Sus scrofa: one gene and its partner. The protein of the gene in region 1 binds, or shares a complex with, the protein of each later gene. Links are inferred from orthologs where the notes say so. Each region holds a gene or a part of one and is shown in the gene's direction. Other genes may lie near its edges. The genes, in order: LMAN1 and MCFD2.

Evidence for each region.
Region 2: the proteins of LMAN1 (region 1) and MCFD2 are in contact, whole or in part, in a cryo-EM structure (PDB 8JP5), measured with the Homo sapiens proteins. The link is inferred for Sus scrofa from reciprocal best matches to the Homo sapiens genes LMAN1 and MCFD2. Residues at the interface, in NP_005561.1 of Homo sapiens: His43, Arg44, Arg45, Phe46, Tyr48, Lys49, Ser51, Phe52, Lys53, Pro55, His56, Gln59, Ser60, Asp61, Val64, Pro65, Phe66, Trp67, Lys96, Phe265, Glu273, Lys279, Glu280, Ile281, Glu285, Lys286, Tyr289, Glu292, Phe293, Phe296; in NP_001164977.1 of Homo sapiens: Val59, Ile60, Asn61, Lys62, Gln70, Glu71, Leu74, His75, Phe77, Lys78, Tyr82, Asp83, Asn86, Asp89, Gly90, Leu91, Glu92, Thr95, Thr98, His99, Val100, Leu111, Glu114, Leu117, Ile118, Ile121, Asp122, Leu125, Asp129, Lys130.

Annotation. Positions count from the first base shown.
Region 1 is NC_010443.5:161,611,167-161,619,159, forward strand, and holds part of LMAN1 (protein ERGIC-53), read left to right. Parts: coding exon 1-150; intron 151-233; coding exon 234-341; intron 342-1,040; coding exon 1,041-1,102; intron 1,103-2,362; coding exon 2,363-2,462; intron 2,463-5,044; coding exon 5,045-5,168; intron 5,169-7,245; coding exon 7,246-7,304; intron 7,305-7,711; coding exon 7,712-7,844; intron 7,845-7,993. UniProt on the Homo sapiens protein: Mannose-specific lectin. May recognize sugar residues of glycoproteins, glycolipids, or glycosylphosphatidyl inositol anchors and may be involved in the sorting or recycling of proteins, lipids, or both.
Region 2 is NC_010445.4:93,616,770-93,625,249, forward strand, and holds the start of MCFD2 (multiple coagulation factor deficiency protein 2), read left to right. Parts: upstream 1-4,151; 5' UTR 4,152-4,166; coding exon 4,167-4,424; intron 4,425-8,480. UniProt on the Homo sapiens protein: The MCFD2-LMAN1 complex forms a specific cargo receptor for the ER-to-Golgi transport of selected proteins. Plays a role in the secretion of coagulation factors.

The DNA of each region.
Region 1 (7,993 bases):
ATTCCAAGTTCAGATCAGATTCGAATAGCACCATCATTGAAAAGCCAAAGAGGATCAGTATGGACAAAGGCAAAAGCGGCCTTTGAGAACTGGGAAGTTGAAGTGACATTTCGAGTAACTGGAAGAGGTCGAATTGGAGCTGATGGCCTGGTATGGCAATTTCTTTAATTTGGAAAATGTGTATAAATGCATATGCTACTAGCCTCTAAATGTTCCCTGTTATATACTTACAGGCAATTTGGTATACGGAAAATCAAGGCCTGGAGGGCCCTGTATTTGGATCAGCTGATATGTGGAATGGAGTTGGAATATTTTTTGATTCTTTTGACAATGATGGAAAGGTATATTTGTTTGCATGACTGTTACCCACTTTAATATATTGGCTAACGAAGTTAGGCTGTGAGCACTATAGCTTATGATGATTAGTCTTTATCTAGCTGGTAATTTATAAATTTAAAGCTAGGAGTTCATGAGTTGTCATATACCAACTTGAGGTCACAGTAGAACCTTCTATCTGAGAACTTTTCAATACCACCTCCCCAGCAGCCTCTTTACGTTTAATAATTTTGATGGATCAACACGAATCATTTAGATGTAGGCAGTGAGACCAGTAGTGTGTAGAAGATTATTACTCTTTGTTTTCATGAAAACATGTCCATTACTACTACTAGCTTACATTTTGATATCTTTTCATATGTTAATTACTCTTTTGATCAGCCAACTTCCCTAAAACAAGAACAAAATGTACTTACGAATTGGAAATATTAACCTGTGCTTTTGCAGCCCTCCTAAGACTATTCATTGTTTCAACCGGTAGTTTACTGATTATTAGAGGTCATTAGTAACAATTTAAAGGAGAACTTTTATATTAAATTCCTTAAATGCTGAGGCCAGGTTTGTCTTTCTGTTACTCAGCTCCCCTAAGTCCACTAGTCACAAGCTCAGTGTCCTAGAATTTTAGAGGTATAAGAGAACTTAAAGCACACCCGGAATTCTTTGATCTAAAGAGTTTAAAACAAATACATTCTCTTTATTTTTAGAAAAATAATCCTGCAATAGTAATCATAGGCAACAATGGACAAATCCAATATGACCATCAAAAGTAAGTGTGTATTTTTACATTATTCCTAATTTCACATCTTTTTGGAAACCTTATAAAATGTTTCAAATCCGAACATTTTCCAGATGAAATAAGATTATCCTTTTTCTTGAAATGTTTTTTGTAATTTAGTAGAAAGGTCTTATTTTAATTTGGTTTTGTTTTAAATTGCTTCCTGTGGACCACCTAGATTTCAAACATGGAAGTGTGTTACAGTTTACTTAAAATTATATAGTATCTTTAAAGGCTTATGAAACATTCCTGGTTCTCAGTGATGCCAATAGTCATTTTTTTTTCATCTTTATTAGAAAAGATCTTTAAAAAGTAAAGTTCAGAGCCTTAACCAACCTAGTGAGTAAGCAATTTATGCTACTTCCTTCAGCCTTAGTGTTGCTGTATTTAAAATAAAATCTCAGGGAATTCCCATTGTGGCTCACTCAGTGGGTTACAAACCCAACTAGTGTCCATGAGGATGTAGGTTCGATCCCTGGCCTCACTCAGTGGGTTAAGGATCCAGTGTTGCTGTGATCTGTGGTGTAGGTTGCAGACGTGGCTCAGATCCAAAGTTGCTGTGGCTGTGGTGTAGGCGAGCAGCTGCAGCTCCAATTCAGCCCCTAGCCTGGGAACTTCCATATGCTGCAGGTGTGGCCCTAAAAAGCAAATAATAATAATAATAATAATTTAAAAATGCATTCTTATTGGGCTCCAAAGCTTCCAGTCTTTAGTATATTTATAATGTGTATGAATTAGTATGTACATTTTAAGTTCTCACATGTGTGTTATGGGGGGAATTACCTTTTACCCAGTGAACTATAAGAAAAATTACTTTCCTCCTTTAGTGATTTTTAACTCAGGTAGTTCATCATGACCACCTGTTGAACTGTTTAAACTAACTCAGAGGTACTAGGGCCTCCCTCTCCTGATTCTGCTTCAGTTGAGGGTGGGATCTAGGAATCTGCAGTATATGTGACTCTGACTCCTCCCTAGTCTCATGTGGAAGAATAGTATCCCTTCCCTGTGCCAGCAGCCGTGGTAGCATTGGCTCCTTATGTTATCTGGAGTCCTGACCCACATCACAGGAAAAACTCATGTGTTAACTTTTGTTTTCTGCAGGAATAACTTCAAATATTATAGGCCTTGTCAATAACAATACTTGATACTGTTTTAATCTTTCTGGACATTAATCATTTTAAATAGTAAGTTTTTAAATATTGAGAAGGCTTCCTAAGTTTCTTGTTTGTCTTCCTTTCCCTTATACTATAGTGATGGTGCTAATCAAGCTTTAGCAAGTTGCCAGAGGGACTTTCGTAATAAACCCTATCCTATCCGGGCAAAGATTATATATTACCAGAAAACATTGACAGTAAGTAACATGCATTTAGAGATAATCAAATAAACAGTATTCTAGTGTGACTCTCATTCTGAATCTTTGATAGAAATTAAATGCATTTTAAATCTGGATATTGTTCACATACTCATCAGTGTTACTACGAGAGAACAGAAGTGACTTCAAAGCTCCATTTAAGTGGTCATGCATTATCACACCTTGCCAGAAGGTTTGCAGTTGGTCAGTGAATGTGTAGGCATCCTACTGTGTACCACACAAATATGAGTAAGACAAAGGTCATTTTCTCCAAAGCATTTGTCTTTCAATGGAAGAGGGACTTAGGTAACATTATGCTTGTGTAACATTAGTGTGCTGTGTGATGATGCTACAACACAGATACCATTGAGGAATCAAGAGGCTGGAGTCCTGTAACTCTTCCAGGCTGGAGTGGGTACGGTCAGGAACAGTTTTTCAGAGTTGAGCTGCGCCTTGAAGGGGAAGTTGGAGTCTCCTAGACGGGGTGTGTCAGGACCATTGAAAGATTTGGGAAAGGCATGTAGTTGGTATTGCTGATGGATAGAGGAGATTTGGCAAGTGAGGTTGAAAGGTTGGCAGTAACAGGTCTCACAGCCTCATGTAGTTTATCCTATAAGGAACTGTTTTAAAGAGTTTTAAGCAGGAAAGTGAAATGATCAGGTTTGATCAGTCATTAGAAAGATGACTAGGCAGCAGTGTTTTTATAAGGGTATTTGTGAAAAGGGCAAAAAATAGGATGATTTAGACTCCTTGACTCTTGATGGGTGCACCATGTGCTTGGGACTTTACATGCAATTTCTCCTTTTTTTCTTTCAGTTTTGTTGTAATATAACTAACATACAGCACTGTTAAAGTTTTAAAGGTACAGGATAATGCTTTGGCTAATATACATCATGAAATGATTATCCATTAAGTTTAATGAACATCCATCATCTCACATAGATACAAGATTAAAGAAATAGAAAAAAAATTTTTCCTTGTAATAGAACTCTTAGGATTTACTCTTAAAATTGACCACTTTCATATATAACACACAGCAGTGTTAATTGTACTTATCATGTTGTACATTACATCCCTAGTACTTATTTATCTTGTAACTGGAAGTCTTTACCTTGTGACTATCTTCATCCAATTCCCACTCTCTACCTCTGACCCCCACCTACCCACCTCTGGTATCCACAAATCTGATCTCTTTTTCTATGAGTTCGTTTTTTATTTGTTTTTTCAAGTAAAATTGACCTACAGCACAATGTTATTTCCTGATATACAATGCAATGATTCAGTATTTCTGTACATTTCAAAATGATCACCATGCTAAGTCTGGTTATTTATCACCACACAAAGATACTACATAATTATCGACTGTATTCCCCACACTGTACATTTCATACCTGTTACTCATTTATTTTGCCACTGGAAGGTTGTACCCCTTAATCTCTTTCACGTATTTCTCTCCTCCTCCCCATCTTCTCACCTCTGGCAACCACCTGTTTGTTCTCTGAATCTGTGACTCTATTTCTGTTTTGTTGTTTGCTTGTTTTGGTCTTTAGAGTCTACATGTAAGTGAAATCATACATCGTTTTTCTCTGTCTGATTTACTTTGCTGAGCCTAATACCATCTAGGTCCATCTGCATTGTCTCAAATGGCAAGATTTCGTTATTTTTTATGGCTGAGTATTATTTTATTTTTTATTTTTTGCTTTTTAAGGCCTCACCCGTGGCATATGGAGGTTCCCAGGCTATGGGTCCAATAGGAGCTACAGCTGCCGGCCTAGGCCACAGCCACAGCAACATCAGATCTGAGTCGCATCTGCAACCTACACCACAGCTCACCACAACACCAGATCCTTAACCCATTATTAAGTGAGGCCAGGGATCAAACCCTCAACCTCATGGTTCCTAGTCGGATTCTTTTCCTCTGCCATGACAGGAACTCCTGGCTGAGTAGTATTCTATTCATTTTCTGCCTTTTTTGTTAACATGACTTGCACTTTTGCTGTCCTTCTGCTAACTGAGGACAGACCAGTTACTCCCCTAACTTAATGAAGAGGCGCTCATTACTTGCTAAGGCAATGTAGGGAATTCTGTACTAGCTATAGTAATAATTGCCAGTTCAACCTATTCATTGTAGTTTGCCACTGCGGTTTCAGAACATGCCTAATCCCTCTTCTTTGTGAACCATTCAAAGAAAGACTGTGGTTCCCAAAGTCTTCTCCAGAGAAGGTGAACCACATTCTGTTTTAGAAGGATTTTCATGGGAAGTTACTAGATTTTTCTTTTTAAGCCTTGACACATAGTAGGGCAAAATACATTTTCTTAAGTGAAATATCTTAACATATAATGATACCAAATAAGTGAGTTTATTTAATGGATGAGGGATTACCCTTTATGACAATGAGAGAAAGCTAATGGCTTTTAATTTTTTTTTAATTTATGTCTTCCAATTTTATTGAGATGTAATTGACATATAATACTGTATCAGTTTAAGATGTCCAACATAATGATTGACTCTGATAGCTTTTTGACAGTTTTTAGACCAAATATAAAGGTCAAAGAGTCATGCACTGATTATGTCTTTCTAGGTAATGATCCATAATGGCTTCACACCAGATAAAAATGATTATGAATTTTGCGCCAAGGTAGAAAATATGATTATTCCTGCACAGGGGCATTTTGGAATATCTGCTGCAACTGGAGGTCTTGCAGGTAAAATATTGTTATCTTTTAATATTAAAAGATTGTGAATTGAATTTGATTGAGAATACTGTATTTTGGAAATGTGTAGCCTGGTTTATTTTTAACTTTTAAGACTAGTTATAACTGTCCCATAGTCTGTGGTGCCAGTCTTTTGGTCTCTTGGAACTGCTGATTCTCTGTTTGCTTTCTGCAGGCATATAGTTGGCTAGGGCTACGTAGTTATGTAAATTAAGAGTATCAGTTTGGGTACACTATTTTATAGTGAAGGAGATATATTTAAAAGGTTAATTGCCAAGTGTTTTAGGATCCTGAGAGTTGTCACAGAGCATTTAAATGAATTTGGGGAGTTCCCATTGTGGCTCAGCAGGTTAAGAACCCAAATAGTCTTTGTGAGAATGTAGGTTTGATCCCTGGCCTCGCTCAGTGGGTTAAGGATTCGGCATTGCTGCAAGCTGCGGTGTAGGTTGCAGATGCGCCTTGGATCCTGGGTTGCTGTGGCTGTGTTGTAGGCCAGCAGCTGCAGCTCCAATTTGACCCCTAGCCCGGGAACTTCCATATGCCACAGGTGCGGCCGTAGAAAGGAAAAATGAATGAATGAATTTGGTAGCCTGAGGAAATATTAGGAACTAAAGTTCAAAGAAAATGTACTTTCCATTTTTTTCCATGTGTGGTGATAAATGAACTTACCATTGGATGTTAATACCATCTTGTGGTCATATTGTAGAATATCTTTATTATTTTCAAACGTTTGCGTTTTTCCTTAAAATGACACACGGTGGGAGGGAGAGAAGATAGATCGTATTCATCCTGTTGTTACATGAGTTTGCCAAATCTTGGATTAAAAGACTTTGTAAAGAGCATCAGGCTAGTACATCAGATCCACGCAGGACTTGATTTGGATTTCTGGCTCCTGGGTCCAGTGCTCTCTTAACACTGCATGACTTTTCCTAACATTACCTAGCCTACATTGTGGTATTATAATTTTCTTTTTTTAATCTGGCTACATATATAGATCTCTATACAAGTGACAGAAAGCAAAGGGATATTCACAGTTGAAATTCACTTATCTTGCTTTGTGGATATGACATGAACCAGGCTGAATATTTTAGTTCCAAGGTGTGTGGTTTGATCAGTTAGCTATTTCTAGCTTAAACAGCTTGAAATTAATTTGACTTTTTAATACAATTTTAGGTGAAATAAAATTGTTAATACCTACTGTGTAAGGGAAAAAATATAAATGATGTATAGAAGAGTAACCATAATATCTAAATCAGATGCTTTGAGAGTAAAAGGAGATAACAGATAAATCAGGACTCTCCCTGTAAGCTAGGACAGAGCAGTGTCGTATTTAAAATGGAAAGTAGGGCTGGGAGTGGTAAGTGCCATAAGAAAGCTTCAGAGACAGCTAGGAGCAGAAAGTACATGAAGGACAGGATCTTATCTCACTGAGACACAGTCCCTGAAGGAGATTTGTAGGAAAAAAAAAAGGAGAATCTTAGTGCCTGGATTAGTACTTGGGGCTTGTTTGGACCCTTCGTTTATTTGTTCCTTCCCTTATCAGACATGTATTAAACATCCATAATATGTTAAACACTGCTAAATATTCTGGTTTTGTATTTAAGAAAAATGAATTCCAGCTTAGTTTCAATATAAGTCTTTCAGATGAACTTTTGTCTTTTGTGCATTTACCAAAGTAGAGCTAATTTTAGTTATTTCCCTTATTGATTATTATTTTAAAGCAACATATGTCTGTAAAGTATATTCACAATCATAAAGTCTATTATGGCACTTTTTCAGATTTTTTTTTGCTTTTTTTTTAGGGCCACACCTACAGCATATGGAGGTTCCCAGGCTAGGGGTCGAATAGGAGCTACAGCTGCCAACCTAGGCCACAGCCACAGCAACACCAGATCTGAGCCACGTCTACAACCTATACCACAGCTCATGGCAATGCCAGATCCTTAACCCACTGAGCGAGGCCAGGGTTCAAACTCACAACCTCATGGTTCCTAGTCGGGGATTTGTTTCTGGTGCTCCATGACAGGAACTCCAGATTGTTTTATTTTGTTTTGTTTTTAATTTGTAGATGACCATGATGTCCTTTCTTTTCTGACTTTCCAATTGACTGAGCCTGGGAAAGAGCCAGTAAGTATACTCATTTTTTTTTTTCCAAAAATTTATTTACAGTTTAGTGGTAATGCCTTGTAGCTAAAAACTTGAGAGGACTGACTTAGGTTTGGGTCTTGTTTCTGCCAGTTATCGCCGTGTGCCCTGATACAGTTACTTAACCTCTATAATGCTGTATTTCTTCACTGGTAAAACTGAGATGCTTGTACTGGCCATGTTGATGTTGTAAAGCATTAAAGACAGTGCTCTTCTAGTGAGCACTCAGTAAATGGTAGTGGCTGTTATTTTTTGTTGTAATATTAGTAGAAAGAACAAATTAACCTTTCACCTAGTGGTGAAGTAGTTAAAATGAGAAAAAGAATATTGAGGCTTACTGTTTTCCTTTTAATTTTTTTCAATGATCTATTCTTAAACTCTAAAAAAAGCCTACACCAGATAAAGAAATTTCTGAAAAAGAAAAAGAAAAGTACCAGGAGGAATTTGAACACTTTCAACAAGAATTGGATAAAAAAAAGGAGGAATTCCAGAAGGACCACCCTGACCTTCAAGGGCATCCTGGTGAGTTGGAGCAAAGCTGTCCTCCACGGCAGCAGTAGTTGTGGCATGTGTGTGTCACCTAGCACTTTATTCATCTTATCCTACTCCTATCTGGCACATTCTGAGTAATTTCTGTAAAGAATTTTTGAGCAAATCTCCAGTATTTAAAG
Region 2 (8,480 bases), on another chromosome or scaffold:
GGAATGTCCTTTGTTCTGCAGTGACCCTTGGTGGGCTGTACCCACTAGCCTCCAAGAAGGGGAGATGAACTGGAGATGGAGTTATGATTGATTGTGCCTCCATAAAAATCCCAATAGGGCAGGGTTTGGAAAGCTTCTGGGTTAGTGAACACATCCATGTGTCTGCAGGGCGGGGCACCCCAGCTCCAAAGGGACCAAGGCTCTTATGCTTGGGGCAACCTTAGACCTATGTATTTGCTCATCTGCACCCTTTATGATATCCTATATTATATAATAAACTGGTAAATTTAAGTGTTTTCCTGAGTGCTGTGAGCTGTTCTGGCAAATGATCAAATCCCAGGAAGGCATCATGGAAACCTCCATTTTGAAGCCAAGTCAGATGGAAGCCATGGGGGTCTAATACTGGTGCTTGGCATCTAAAATGAGGGGCAGTCTTTTTTTTTTTTTTTTTTTTTTTTTCCTTTTAGGGCTGCACGCGCAGCATATGGAGGTTCCCAGGCTAGGGGTCAAATCAGAGCTGCAGCTGCCAGCCTATACCACAGCCACAGCAACACAGGATCTGAGCCGCATCTGTGACCTACACCACAGCTCCAGGCTTGAGATTTTAGGGACACATGATTTCCTCAAGCATTTGTTAGACTTCCGGTCAATTCCCTTTTTTTTTTTGCTGTGTAGGGCTGCACCTAAAAAGGGCCCCATATGAAAGTTCCCAGGCTAGAGGCTGAATCAGAGCTGCAGCTGCTGGCCTATACCACAGCTATAGCAAGGCCAGATTCAAATAGAGTCTGAACCTATGCCACAGCTCACAGCAATGCCAGATCCTTAACTTACTGATCGAGGCCAGGGAGCAAACCCACATCCTCATGTGTATGAGTCAGGTTCTTAACCTGCTGAGCCACAATGGTAACTCCTGCAATCAAATAATTTATCTAGGGAGTCTTTAAATGATTTTCTGATGAAAGATTAAAAATTTTCCCCAAGTAATTAATTTACTTACTTAGATTTTTTTTTTTTTAATTAAAGCAGCACTGGAGTTGCCTTCCTGGCTCAATGGGTTAAGGATCTGGCATTGCCATGAGCTGTGGTGCAGGTCACAGATGGGACTGGGATCCTGCGTTGCTGTGGCTGTGGCATAGGCTGGCAGCTACAGCTCTGGTTCAACCCCTAGCCTGGAAACTTCCATATACTTCGGGTGCCACCCTGAGGGGAAAAAAAAAAATTAAAGCAGTACAAAAAGGTATAAATTGAGGTTATTTCCACCTCTTTTCTCTAATAGTTTTCTCCTTGAAGAACAAGAAGGGACTTCTCATCGTGGCACAGTGGAAACAAATCTGACTAGGAACCGTGAGGTTGTGGGTTCGATCCCTGGTCTTGCTCAGTGGGTTAAGGAGCCCATGTTTCTATGGCTCTGGTGTAGGCTGGTGGCTACAGCCCTGATTAAACCCTAACCTGGGAACCTCCATATGCCGTGGGAGTGGCCCTAGAAATGGCAAAAAGACAAAAAAAAAAATAATAAAATAAATAAATAACAAGGAAAACCAAATATTAGCCTATTTAAGTCTTCTAGGGGGTGATCTTTGTGTGCACCATTGCAGCGGAGGCAATTCAAACACAGCAGGCAGACATGGCACCTCTAGCCCATCCTCACTACCTCAGGCCTCCACCTTATCTCCTGATAAAGCTCCCTCTTCATTGTCTCCATTGGTGTTGGCTTTGGCTTTGTATTCAAAGAAAATTGTTTATTTCAATCCAGAAAGACTCCAAATTGTGGGACTCAGCCAATTTAGGTCATAAGCTGCAGGTAAGATGTTGCTCTCTTACCAAGGTCTTATTTTCTTTAATCTCTGCTTTCAAATCAGTTATCTCTAATCTGGATTCGCCACTGTCTTGAAGGACTTTGCTGAAAGGTACTTCAAAAAAAAAAAAAAAAAAACATCCAACACTCACTAATGTTCTATATTGTTTCTGAGCTTCCTCGGGCCATACAACTTTGGGCATGTGGGTTTTCCCCAAGGTCCAGCAAGTGACAGCAGCTCAACACTTTCAATTTGCTTAACAAGTTGGTCACCAACTTTCCCACTTAGAATAGAGCCTTAACCTGTGGCTACCTTGCCCTTCAGTTAACCAATTCCACATTTTAGTGTCTGGTTTTATGTCTTACTTATGGGACCAAATTATTTTCCTGTTAGGAATCTGTTCAGCTACAAGTTATAAAACATACAACCTAGAGAGGGCTTACACAAACGTATTGTCTCATGGACTAGAATGGGGCAAGAATGGAGACGGGGAGGTCAGTTGGGAAGGTCTCACCTAGTCTAGGTAGTAGATGATTGTTTCTTGATGTCAATGATATCTCAATAAAGTTTTTTTGGGGGGGAACCACTAGAATTTGGCTTGAAAAAAGTGAATGGCAGTGACATTTACTAAAATGGGCAAAACAGGGTGGTACATGTTTGGAGGTGAAAATTAATATATCGGGGGGCCAAGTTAAATGTATGCTAGTTAGACACTCATGTGGAGATATCACTGAGCTTGTTGAAAGAAGAGACCATGTCTTGTTTGTATTTGAATTAGTAAGAGTTTCTTCAGGGACTTTGGGATCCTGGAATTTTTCTCTAGGGTAGGGTTGACAGATTTCAAACTCAGTTGAAGGTGGGAAAAGGAATGAGTCATGATCAGTAGCAGTTATCCCGATCAACTTGCAGGGCCCTGATCTCCTAAAGCAGACTGCAGGGAGTGTTCTGGGATCATCTACTTAATCACTTTCTTTCTCTGTCTCTCCCTTTCTGGATCCAGGCTCACATGAAAATGACTATGTAGGAGTTGCCGTCGTGGCTCAGCGGTTAACGAACCTGACTTGCACCCATGAGGACGTGGGTTCGATCCCTGCCTTGCTCAGTGGGTTAAGGATCAGGCATGAGGTGTGGTATAGGTTGAAGATGTGTCTCGTATCTGGCATTGCTGTGGTGTAGGCCAGTGGCTTCAGCTCCCATTGGACCCTAGCCTGGGGAACTCCATATGCCTCAGGTGTGGCCCTAAAAAGACTGAAAAAAAGAAAAAAAAAAAAAAGATTATGTATCTTTATGGGCACAAATGGGAGAAGGAATTTTAAAAATGACAGTCCTACATTCACTTACCCATCTGATCAATAACTATTCACTGAACAGTCTTGTATAGGAGAAAAGGTATAAGGGCAGAATCATATGGGGCTTATCTGTTTGTTTCCTTTGTTAGTGGGTCAGTTTTTTGGGAGTGCTTTTTCCTGTCTTGAATGATGACTGATTTCACAAACCGCACAGGTAAAGTGGTATTTGAACTGGGCTGCCCATAAAATCTTGGTGGGACTCATATACGAGTGAATGTGTATTGTAGAAGATGCAGCTTGCAGAATGGAGCAATCAGAGGCTGCACGTAGGCCAGTCTTGGAAACGAGGGATCCAAGGCCAGCTCCAGTGTTTTTGGCTGTTTCATCATGAGAAGAATTAAAATTCCTTACTGCTGACTAAAAGAAAAACGTACAACATAGAAGTTGTGAGTTAAAAGTTTTATTAAGGGAACTTACTGGGGACTATAGTGGAGGAGACAGCTTCTCGGCTCTGAGGATCTGCTCTCAAGAGGTAAGGAACAAGCTAGGATATATATGAACTCTTTTGAGGGGAAAGACATCTAGTCAAGCATCAAAAGATTGCTGCTAATCGCAAAGAACAGACATCTCAAATTAATGCTTTTAGTGTCATTCTATGAAAGAGAAGATGCAAGAATATGGGGTCAGTTGAGAATTTTCCTTAGAGATACAGCTTAACTGAAGCCAGTATATCTATAGTACAGAATGTTTCCTGTTTTTCTCCATTCTGAATTCCCCTCAGGGCACACGGTGGGTGGGCAAGTACAGTGGCTCATGGCTTGATCCTCGGCGAACAGGACTGGCAGGCAACATTTTTTCTTTATACTATTATACTTCCCAACTTGCAGTCAGAGGAATGCAGGGACCTGTAAATGTGGAGGTGGAACCAAAAGCCAGTTTTGGCGCCCACCCCGTCGCATTAGCCATCATTTCTCTCTGGGGGGCTTCCTGCATTGCCTAGCAACCTGTCAGGACTCTGGGGGTTCAGATAGCCCAACGCAGGTCCCCACCATCCTCACCCTCTGGAGGGTGGGCAGAAGAAATGCCTCCGCCTGACCTTTACCGGGCCACGGTCCGTTACACGTGGAATCGCCCCAGCGGCCCGCACTACACCAGCGGAGCAGGGGAGGGGCTTCACGGCGCCAATGGGCGGGCAGAAGGGGCGCGCGTGCGCACAGCGGACGGGGAGTGGGGCGGGGCCAGGGCCAGGGAAAAGAGTTCTGAGGACCGGGGCTGTCGAGGCTCACGCCGGGGTGCTTCGCTTTTGCGGAAAGCTGTTTGGCAGCTGGTGGCAGAGAGGGTGAGTGAACCACGGGACAGTCGTGATCTGGCTGCGGCCTGTGAGGCCTGTGACCCGACCTTGGAGGAGGAGATCCGTGGGGCGGGCCTCAGGGGTCCTCAGCAAGGCGCGATCCCGGCGTCCTTCAAGGATCCCGGGGCTTCGGGCTCAGGTTGGGAGACAGGAGCGGCCTGGCTGCGGGTCTCGGACCCGAGCCGCCTCGAGAAGATAGCTGACTAGGAGAAGAGCCTCTTCCCGGGGAGAAGCCGCAGGGGCGATAAGCCTAATGGGCGCGGCCAATCTGCCGTGACCTGCGCGCGCGGGCCTGAGTCTTTGCTCTCCGTCTGCCCCTGGTACTCCGTCTCCCTCCGGGGGAGACAAATAAACAGGTCCTGTTGGGCTGGCGAGCTTGGCCACGTTGTGCCAGGGGAGTGGGGGAGGCGGGGGAACTTTGTATTCCCCTCTTGTATTTTTTGTCTGGTATGGCACCGCCATCCACCTGATTGCACAAGCCGGAAACCTGGGCGTCCTTCTCGTCCGCTGCACCCTTTACCCATCCACATCGAATCCATCGCAAATCTCTGGATACACCCACTTCGTCACACCCAGTCCCTCTGCTCTAGCTGGTTCAGGCCACCATCATCTCTCCCCTGGACTTCCTTGGTAGCTTCCTGACTAGCTCCCTGTATCTCCTTTTTCCTCTGTAGTTTGTTATGTACTGGAAAGCCAGAGTGATGGTTTTAAAACACAAAAAAGTCACCAGACCTACTCACTCTTCCCTTACTGCCTTTCTGTGAATTCCCATTGCTCTTTCAAGCTCTTGGACGGGCTTATGAGACCCCTCATGACCTTTCCTCTTTTTGCTTTAGTCTGTCGCATCTATCTCCACTATACTGTGTTTTCAACCACATTGAACCATTTTTGGTTCTCAGATTGGACATTCTTTTGGGCTTAGGCTAGAAGGCTAAGACTTGTTATGTCATTCCCTCTGCCAGAGGTGTTGTCCTTTAATTGAAGAAATCCTCTTTCATGTATTAATCCAGGTGTGGATTGGGGCTTCTGTGGTATCCTACAGCTGACTTATTTACTCTCTCTTTTCCCACCAGGCTGAAATCTGTGGGACAGGAGCCAGTCTGGGTCACAGTCCTATCCTCAGAACCTGTCAGCACCAGGCTTCTAGTAAAGCGTGTTAATTAAATGTATAAGTGGAGTTCCTGTCATGGCTCAGTGGTTAACGAATCCGACTGGAAACCATGAGGTTGCGGGTTTGATCCCTGGCCTGGCTCAGTGGGTTAAGGATCCGGCGCTGCCATGAGCTGTGGTGTAGGGTCGCATGGGAACCTCCATATGCTGCGGGAGTGGCCCTAGAAAAGGCAAAAAGGCCCCCCCCCCAAAAAAAGATTAAATGTGTAAGTGAAGCATGGCAGCTCCCTGGGTCTCCAAATGAACAAGTAGATCAAGTTATTGAATGTCTGCTTTTTCAGAACCAGTAGTCAGCCCCCAACCCATGTAGAGGTTTCTTTGTCTAGGAACTTGGTTCCTTTCTTGCCTTCAGTCTAGCACCATGGCTGTTTTAAATGGGCAACTGTCAGCCAGAGTTTTTCTTTGGCATTGACTCTGAGCACACGATGTCTGGATGTTGGTGAGTGTGGCTGCTGTGGGTTCGAAGTTTTTCCTGAGGGCCCCAGCATGAGGGAAAAGTTGCTAACAGCTGCTGTGGTTTTCATGGGAGGAAGGCTGGCTCCAAACTCTTCCGTGTGGCCTAACGACACAATGAGAAGGAAGGGTGGGCCAAGCCGAGCCCCTGGTGGGAGGTCTCCAAAGCAAAGTTGCTTTTCTAGCTTGGGTCAGCTCTTCTGTGATAGGGAACAGCATGGCTCCATGCCAGGACCCACTGCCCCAATTCTGATGAAGGCGTGCTATGCCAGGTCAGCTCAGCAGTTTGTGATAAATTCAGTTGGGTAAAGGAGAGGCAGAGAAAATAGCTTCTCAGCCCTCGCAGAGGGAGGAAAAGAGAAAAACAAAAGGAGAATACAATGTGACCGTATGTCAAGGCCAAGTGAGTGCAAGAGACTGCAGACTGAGGTCATTGGAGGTCACAGTTAGTCTTGGCTGGGAGAACCCCGAGATGACATTTGAATTGGGCCTGGAAGGAAGAGGGAGGACAGACAGATGGAAGCAGTGGAACAAAGGCTCTAGGACTGGGAAAGATGGCTGGAGCAGTGAGGGAAGCCCTGTCACTGTCAAGGCACTGTGGGAGCCTGCCACCATCCAAGGTCCAAGCTTCCTCCCAGGCCTGGCGCTTCTCCTCATGAAGGATGTTTCAAAGTGGGGTTGTGTTCCAAAGTCTTCCTTTCAGAAATCTGTCCTCCTTTGGATGTGTCTCCAGCCTAGCCCTTCCAATTTCTCATGGGCCACTGAGCCCAGGAACTCCTGGGGCTCATCTGCCAAGCTCTTTGCTTATGGCCTTGAGCTGAGTTGGAGTGTGGCTGATGCAACTTGTTCTTTGGACGGAAAGGAGTTGCTGATATTTCCTTTTCTGTGTGAACAGTTTAACTTGTTAGGTGGCAGTCAGATTTCTTGTCCTCATTGTAGCACTTGTACAAGGGAGTTTCTCTTCTGTGCTCATAGATTTGGCTTTTGTTGTTTTCTTTTTTTTTCTTTTTTTGTCTTTTTAGGGCCTCACCTGAGGCATACAGAGGTTCCCAGGCTAGGGGTTGAATCAGAGCTGTAGCTGCCAGCCTACACCATGGCCACAGCAACACGGAATCCAAGCTGCATCTTCAACTTAACATCACAGTTCACAGCAACGCCGGATCCTTAACCCACTGAGCGAGGCCAGGGATCAAACCCGCGTCCTCATGGATGCTAGTCGGGTTCATGAAGGGAACTCCTTGTTGTTTTCTAATGCTTAGAAACCTGCAACAGCTAACCAAAGTGGGCTAAGTCCAAAATGGATGGTTCCTGCCCTTTATCCTGCCTCCCTTGAAGAGGGGACCATTTGGACCCAAAGTCACTGTATTCCCAATCACTTGATTGCCTTTTAGTATTGTTTGAATAGAAAATCTCTCCCCATACCCATCTGATATACTAAGCATCCAGCCAAGTAAGTTCTAGGAAATAGTGCCATGGGTCCCATGATCACTCAGCTCTACTGTCAGATAGATGTATCCAAAAACAAGTTTTATCTTCAGTTACATTAACATCAAAACCTGGCCGCATATCTGTGAAGCTGGTAATCCCCTGCCCCTAGCCCCCAAGGACCACAGCACACAGGCTGAGAACCACCAGCCTCTGTGCAGGCACTGTGCCCAGTGCGGGGAATGTGGATCCGGTCCCCACCCTCACTGAGCCCGGTCCAGCAGGGGCACTGAGGGGTTATCAGCATGTTCAAGGTCTCGTGCACAGCTGTTGTCAGCCTTTCCACTTAGGAGCAAGTGGAAAGAATGCCTAAGTTAGGCGTTCCTGTCGTGGCGTAGTGGTTAACGAATCCGACTAGGAACCATGAGGTTGCGGGTTCGGTCCCTGGCCTCGCTCAGTGGGTTAAGGATCCAGCGTTGCCGTGAGCTGTGGTGTAGGTTGCAGATGCGGCTCGATCCCACGTTGCTGTGGCTCTGGTGTAGGCCAGTGGCTACAGCTCTGATTAGACCCCTAGCCTGGGAACCTCCATATGCTGTGGGAGCAGCCCTAGAAAAAGGCAAAAAAAAGACAAAAAAAAAAAAAAAAAAAAGAATGCCTAAATTAGATTGGAATTGAAGACGGCTTGCTGAAGAGAGAGCTCCAAGGCCGATGAATCAGAAAGGCCTGGGAGGAACTGGCTTCCCGCTCTGGTCCGTCTGGTCCCAGAACTCTACAGTATGTGGTCAGAACATGTTGTTCTGCTCTGGTTGGGGCAATCTCTGCAGAGAGTAACTTGAGACCTTGTTTTCTCTACCAGGTACAGTGTCAGTGGCCTCATCATTGTCTGGACACTTTTTTTTTTCTTGTTATAGTCTCACCTGTGGCACATCAAAGTTCCCCAGCTAGGGGTTGAATCAGACCTATAGCTGCCAGTCTACACCACAGCCACAGCCACAC